Drosophila melanogaster: one gene and its partner. The protein of the gene in region 1 interacts with the protein of each later gene in a pairwise test. Each region holds a gene or a part of one and is shown in the gene's direction. Other genes may lie near its edges. The genes, in order: Arp10 and bic.

What was found.
Region 2: the proteins of Arp10 (region 1) and bic interact in a two-hybrid assay, tested with the Drosophila melanogaster proteins (2 studies listed by BioGRID).

Annotation. Positions count from the first base shown.
Region 1 is NC_004354.4:19,644,031-19,648,279, reverse strand, and holds Arp10 (Actin-related protein 10), read left to right. Parts: upstream 1-2,103; 5' UTR 2,104-2,363; coding exon 2,364-2,434; intron 2,435-2,494; coding exon 2,495-2,647; intron 2,648-2,697; coding exon 2,698-3,610; 3' UTR 3,611-3,749; downstream 3,750-4,249. Other genes in the region: Ranbp21, read left to right, coding at 1-705; Sec61gamma (Sec61 gamma subunit), read right to left, coding at 4,187-4,249.
Region 2 is NT_033778.4:12,868,445-12,872,393, forward strand, and holds bic (bicaudal), read left to right. Parts: upstream 1-1,804; 5' UTR 1,805-1,886; exon of another isoform or gene 1,887-1,958; coding exon 1,959-2,468; 3' UTR 2,469-3,350; downstream 3,351-3,949.

The DNA of each region.
Region 1 (4,249 bases):
AATGCCAACAGCAATTCTGTGGCCATGGAGAATGAGGAGCACTCGATGGACAGCGCACCGCAATCGCGAGCAATCCAGTCGGCACTGCTCTCGGACATCATAAGCGACTTGGGCGGCAAGCTGCTGCGCAACGGACTCATTGGCAATTATGTGCTCATGACCTTGCTAAAAGCCATCGCCTGGAACGACGGCATGTGCAGCATGAAGGCTGTCAACATCGCAGCGCCCGTGATGCGTTTCCTGGCCGCCGAGAAACTAATGGACGAGAACAAGGCCGTCACGGCCTTTACCGCCGTCCTGCAGGGCATGCAGGTGCACGGTCAGCACGAGGCCAACCAATCGGGCCTGGTGACGCTGGGCGTGCAGTTCTACGAGCTGCTCCGTCCGCAGTTCCCCATTCTCAGCGAAGTGCTGCAGCATATCCCCAGCGTGAATGCGGCCGACATTCAAAAGTTCGACGAAAAGATTGCCGTGGCGCCCGTCAAGGGCAACAAAGTGGATCGCGCCAAGAAGGACATCTTCAAAAAGCTGACCGCCCAGCTGGTCGGACGCAGCGTGAACCAGTTGTTCCGGCACGAGGTGCAGATAGCCAATCTGCCGCCCATGCAGTCGCACAAGGCCAAGGGATCCATGGGCACCACGGCTGACATCATGGATAGCAATCAGAACGCGAGTCTGGCCAGGCTCTTTGGGCCGGAGAAGTGACACGGAGCGCAGCGGAAGCAGAAAACGAGATACACAAACGAACAGGAACAGGATAGGAGAAGCAGGAGGAGGCGTCGCAGCGGAGGCGGCGCCACCAGTGACACCACCTCTGTCCTGGTCGAGGACCGGGATCAGGAGCATGTCGAGACCACGGCCACCTCAGCTGCCAAACTAGCGACGACTGAACTGAATGTAACTGTAAATTAGCTTAGACGATGAGTTCGCACTTTTTCTCGCCCTTGTCCAAGACCATGACCCAGTCCGTGTCCCAGTCCCAGTCCCAGTTCCCAATCAGATCTTACAGTTATTAATTTATTTATTTTAACAACTAAATTTTAAGCGTACCCGCAATGAAGCAATTTTTTATTGAATTTGTCTCATGCGGGCATCGCAACCGCTTCGATCCGAACCGTTTCCCCCCCAGTTTCTGGAGGAAAATGGTGACTCGTGACTTGTTACTGCTTTGTTATTTATTATTCGAAATTTGTTAAACTTGTTTGCTCAAAGGAACTACTAGAATCGCTAGTTAGCAATACTCCGGCCCACAACCGTCAATCCGCAATCCTTAGCCCTCGTCCTATGGCCCCAGGTCCCAGGTGCTTCGCAGAGACGCCAGAAGACCATTTTATACATAGTTAATTAATTAATTATTTAATGAATTGTGCTTTCCTCGTTTTGTATAGTTACCTATGCGCAGGCATAATGTAATTTATATAATTGTACACATTTATCATTTGAAGGAATATTTCTGAAATTACGCTTAGGTTTAGTTGATAGGCAAAAGTTATTATTATATAATACATCAAATTGTATATGATCACACATCCCGCACCGCGAATGCATCATGCATTATGCAGTATAATAATTATAGCCCAAAAACACACCAGGATACTAAGAAAACATAATGAAATCGAAGCGGTCGACCGTGCAAAAACACAAATCGAAATAAGATAAAGCAGATAAATTTGAAATAAATTTAAAAATTCAAAGTGGAACCGACTTGTTTTAGTAATACGCAATATAATAATTTCAAACAGGACGATATCCATGCAAGAAAACATCACTGTGGACGGCAGTTAATGTAGTGACGAAGCGCGCCCGGAGACTTTGCGATTATATTGAACAAAAGTTGTTCTTAAGATATATGAATTTAATTTCACAAGAATCATTATAATTATTAGCTTCAAACTCGCGAAATTAACTTCTTAAATTCGATAAAGTAGTTTTGTAAACTTACTGAAAAGCATACATATGTATGTACACTGCAATAAACTAAAGTAAAGTTGATTCTATTTGTACGTAAGAGTTAGACCTCTTAAAAGCAGAATAATCGACTGACACCAAATGATTCCGAGCTACTTTCAAAATTTTATCTTGTTGGGTTTTAAAAGCCATAAAATACCAAAATACCAAATTGAATGTATTTCAAACCAATAGGCAAAGTTTTAAAGTTACCCAGAAATTTGAAAAGCGTGCCAGTAAAACGGATGCCATTAGTGGAAACAGGGTGTTTGCTCGCTACATCGTCAATCGATGATTTCCGCACACCGATAACTTCTTGTTTTGGCCAAAAATTAAGCGAACTGAACAATATACCATTCCATGGTCTAGTCGGTTCGTCCAGCAAAGGAGCAAGCAGCCAGCAGACAGCAGCCAAGATGCCCATTTACGAGAGCGTGATGCAGGAGAAGCCGCCCATTGTCCTCGACATTGGCACCGCCTACACCAAGTAAGCAAACGCAAATAATTCGGCGAAAGTGGTATGAAGTCATCACTGCACCCTTTTCAGGCTGGGATTCGCAGCGGAGGCGTATCCGCGCAAGATCATGCCCACGGAGGTGGTGATGACCACGACGGGGATCCGGAAGCGTCTGTTCGACTACGACACTCCGGAGGAGCTGTACGACCAGCTAGTGGATTTTCTGCAGACGATCTTCTTCAAGTAGGTGACTCGGTGGCTTTGGTTTCTATTGCAATGTAATTTCCTTCTAGGCATCTACTGGTCAGCCCCAAGGAGCGCAAGTTCGTGCTGGTGGAGAACGTGTTCGGATCCACTGTGCTGCGTGAAACCTTGGCCCGCGTGCTCTTTGTCCACTTCGACGTCTCCTCCGTGCTGTTCGTGCCCGTGCATCTCATTGCGCTGTCTACGCTGGCAGTGCCCACTGCCCTTGTGGTGGACGTTGGCTACAGCGAGACCAGCGTTATGCCCGTCTTCAGCGGGGTGCAAATCATGGCCGCCTTCAAGGATCAGAGCTACGGAGGCAGCGCCATCCACGCGGAGATCAAGCGGCAGCTGGTTGAGAGTGGCGTTAAGGAGAGCCTGCTAACAGAAAGCGTGCTGGAGGACATCAAGGTGCGAACCTGCTTTGTGACCACCATGGAAAGAGCCAAGGCCCGCGCCAACGGCGACGAGAATCAGCCGACTCCCGCGCCAGACGTGGACTACATTGTCAGCGACAACGATGCGGTCATCCAGGTGCCCGGCCTCCTGCGGGAGTCTGCCTACGAGATCATGTTCGAGGCCAGCAACGAGCGGGACAGCCTGCCGCATCTCATCCTGCGCTCCATTCTCGACTGCACACTAGACGTGCGACGTGCCCTGGTCGAGAGTGTGTTCCTCGTGGGCGGCGGCTCAATGGTCCAGGGTCTGCTGGCCCGCCTCCGCCAGGAGCTGCAGCATCTGCTCACCGAGGATCCGTTCTACGCCGAACGCTTCCATGGCGAGCTGCAGTTCAAGTTTTTCAATGCTGTCGGCAAGCAAAACTTTACTGCCTGGCTGGGCGGCGCCTTGTGCGGCGCGACGGATCTCATCCAGACACGATCGCTGGTCAAGGAGACGTATCTAAAGAGCGAGCACGTTCCCGACTGGAGCAACCTGTGCGATAATAGGCCGACAGGCTCGTAGACTCGAGGGCAGTCCCGGAAGATGGAAATATGTACGCTTCGGCGCTTTACTGGTTACGCGTACTAACATACTCTTGATTATTATTCTGTAATATATAGGTATTAAATATTTACGAAATATAGGCTAACGAGCTTTAAACAAAATATTGCTTGTACGTTTTCTGGACATTTATTCTTGGTTCTAATGATGATGTCGGTTTATCAGCTTCATTTACAACTTTACTTTCTTCAAGCAATGTAACGTTGCGTCTCTCAGAGTTAAAAGAATCTCATTTGTACACGGAAAATCAATTTAACATTTATTAGCGGGGATGCGCACCCCAAACAAATGCTATGAAGACGGGTGATTCCTTTTTACATTTGAATCTTATTAACTAACTTGTTCATGAATGGAATATCGAAACATTACAATACGTTTTCGTACGTTTGTGTAGAATTTTGTTAGAAAGGCATTCGCTGAATGCACATGGTCCATACATATAATGCATGTTAACTAAACGAAAAAAAAAGACGTTGATCTGATGTATGCTATAATGGATGATTGGATGATTGGTGGTTTCCTTGCCACTCAGCGCATTTAAGAGCCCACGATGATATTGTTGATGGGGATGTGTATCAACTTAACGAAGAAGCCGATGAA
Region 2 (3,949 bases), on another chromosome or scaffold:
ATACTAAAATTGCTAACATTATAGCAATTATTATATTATGGATAAAAACTGGTAAAATCCTGGCCAGAAAGGGACAACAGACTATTCACTTGTTTCAGATAAGATACGGCCATATAAATAAACATACATAAATAGACAATTACTTTGGCCCTTGCTGATAAAGTAAGTTCCGCTTATTGCTGAGCATACTTAATGTTGTTTACGAATCGGTGGAGAGGCAAAAGAAAAAAACCAAACAAGCCAAAAGCTCTCTCCCATTATTCAGATCTGTCTCTCTCTCTCTATAAATATGTATATCGACTAAATATAATTGTTATTATCACTTCTTAACACGAATAGGATTTTATATACTCTTACACACACTCGCTCACTCATAAAACTCATCTTTTGAGCTAAACTCCGGCTGCTTTGTCTTTCTGAATGACTCATCGGGGAGTTTTTATTTGATTAATGGCTTATAGGCTAATACTTCTACATATATTTTATACAGTTACTCACTGGACAGAACGGCACCTTGGCGTCTGCTGGTGCAGCAATATCCGCAGCAACTCATGATGAGGAAGGTGAGCAGAAAGAACATGAAAATGCCCCAGAAATCCATGGCGAAATCGTCTATATCGTCCAACTCAAAGTCGTCCACTGCGGAAGAAGTTAATGTGTTTAAAAGCTCGTTTCATAGTCGATAAGACGTCGTGAAATACTTACGTTTGACAAGGATTTAGCGGTTATTTCCCTTTGTTAATATCTGTATTTAAAGTCGAAAATTCCACTTGTTGCAGGGAATGCACTGCCTATTTATCGGATTTATCCGCTTTTTGGCAGCACCCGTATAATTCACTTAAATATCAGTGAACTACTCTACCGGAAGGTCGTTATTGAAGCCCGATTGGAATTAACTATATCTTATCAGCGTTAATCTGAAAGTAATACAATTTATCATGATGATAATGGGTGCACGTTATGCAGCACTGACTGCGCTGGCTATGTTTAGTGAGCAGTCGATGTAAAGCGGCGATAGCTAGCGCACTCAACACAGCAATCGATAATTCAAACATAACATCTGATTTAATTGTGTTTAAAACTTTATTGCAAGGTATATAATGGCTCATAATTTTATTTATTTGCGTTCCAAATATTTACTAAATTGAGTTTGTTATACTAAGCTTGTATATTTTGTATAGATATTTTTTAAAACATTACAATTTATCATAATGATGACGTTATGCAGCACTGACTGCTGAGTTTAGTGAGTAGTCGATGCAAGCCAACGATAGCTATCGAACTCAACAAAGCAATCGATACTATTGGAATAGAAAATATAAGAATTAATTAATTCAAACATTACATCTGGTTTAATTGTGTTTAAAACTTTATTGCTGGGTTTATGATGGCTCATAATTATGTTTATTAACATTCCAAATGTTTAGTAAATTGGTTTTTTTTCTTACCACGTTTATTTTTAATTTTATATAGCAAATTTTTAAACATATTTACTTATATATGTGGTTGAAAGCGATGAAAATAAAGTAAATCGATTAAATTGAGATTTATGCCCTGAGTAGATTTACTTTCCCACCATATACTACTAAAAATTTGAATATATTCAAAACTAAAAATTCATTCAAAATTCAGAAAACGTATTACTTCAAAAATAATGTATAAATTATATAAACAATAGAATTTTTAAATTTCTTTGGCGCGCTTTGGTTGCCACCTTGTGAGCTATCGATAGTCAACACTCACGTTTAGTACTTCCTACCAGTACTACTCACATATACATACACCTTTTGCCATTTTTATCATGGCGATTTCTTTTTGACATTTGACTACGACTGGGCGCACGTGTTTTCTGGCAAGGCTCTGTGCTAAATTCTAGTAAAATCAAAGTGAGTAGTGGAAAGTGCGGCATTCGATTGGCGTTTTACTGATGCGACCATTGTGTGTACTCAATTGAACAGATGAACGCGGAAAAGCTGAAGAAGTTGCAGGCGCAGGTGCGCATTGGCGGCAAGGGCACCCCTCGCCGCAAGAAGAAGATCGTCCACTCCACGCCCGCCACCGACGACAAGAAGCTGCAGTCGTCGCTCAAGAAGCTGTCGGTAAACACAATTCCCGGCATCGAGGAGGTGAACATCATCAAGAACGATGGCACCGTCATCCACTTCAACAATCCGAAGGCCCAGGCCTCGCTGCCGACGAACACGTTTGCCATCACGGGTCATGGCGAGAACAAGACGATCACCGAGATGGTGCCCGGCATTCTGACGCAACTGGGTCCCCAGGACATCAACCAGCTGAAGAAGCTGGCCACGGAGATTGCCAGCAAGAGCGGCGCCGGCGGAGCAGCCGGCTCTTCAGCCGCCGATGCCGGTGACGATGATGTGCCCGATCTGGTCGAGAACTTCGAGGAGGTGGCCATCGCCGACACAAAGGAGGAGAAGTCCGGTGAGGTGGCGGCCTCCGCTTAGGCTGGTCCAACCCCGCCCACCCGGGCAAATCACACCACCACACACCGAACACAAAAACATACATACAAAACATACGGGGCCAGGGAGCAAGACGAAGTGGCTGGCATACAGGGCAGAACCCACACACCAGACACGCCGGAAACACATCTACCACTTACCCATTCCGGTTCCAAATCGGAAACGGATCCACTCCGGACTGCAACCAGCGCTTCTGCCCTGAATGGGCCATTCTTCGTGCTCCCTCCAGCCACTTTTTTGGGGGTCATGCTACACACTATACTAAAATACAAAAATAAAGGCATCCGAGTGAGCGCTGAACAGAACACATAAGCATAATAACTATACTTAACATACTAAGGGAACCCTTCAATCTTAATCTAATTGTACTAGTTTGGAACAGTCAAATGTATTTTCCAAAGCGATTAAAGAACGTTTCCTTAACCAAAAAAAACCACAGTCTAAACAACACACACATTCTAATTTTTGCCGCCCTCCCAAGAACAACACACACAGATGTATCTATAGATATATGCGCTGTCATAAAACACTATATACTATATATATACGATACGGTTTTCGGAAGAATTGTGACGAGGTGATTAGGGGAACAACGCAGACACTCCAGATGAATTCATTGCCAGGTCGCGAGGACAGAGAAATATATTTTTAGCACTACTAGCTCTTACCGATTTTCCCCAATTTCCGACTTTTCGATGTAACCCCGCCCTCAAGGAATCCTCAATTGAAAACGAAAACAAGCTGAGGCCACAATTTCGATTCGAGAACAATGTGCCCAAATTGTTGAAAGCATAGCTTATAATTTGTAAACTATTGTTTTAGACCATCATTACCATGCATAACATTAAATGAGCTGTAAAAACCATACGACCCATTCATATTTCCAGCATTTTTTTTTTAGTTTAATGCCTATTTTTTTCTTTGCTTGCATAATCGACATGTGTGTGAGTGTGGGCCTGTGTGTGTATGCATAGCAACGCTCTTGTGTGAGGTTTTCGAGGTGATGGGAAAGGGGTAGTGGGAGGTGTGGCGCAAAGCACGCGGCAGTCGAAAACTTGTTGACATTTGGTATGGTACGTCTAAAATCCAGATGGTCAGAAGGCTCCTTCGGCAGGAACTATGACCCGTACGCAACTTCCAAATTATGTGTCCAAATCCAAAGTTGGGAGTCGTAGCATGCGGTACATGCACATATGTATATATATAAATATGTATATGGTTTTTGGTCGGAAATCTTCGAAATGAGTCACGTTTAAATTGGCTTAAAATTGCGATTAGGCCAGTTCAACCGGAATGTTTCTTGAAGTTTCCACTCATTTGTACATAAACAAGCGATTGCGGCTTCTTATCACATTTCGACGACCTATAACGGATTAAGGTTAATGCAAATGCTAGTATTTTTATCAGTGACGAGGTCAAATAGAGTTAAAAACTCATATTTAATTGTGGCAAATATATTTAAT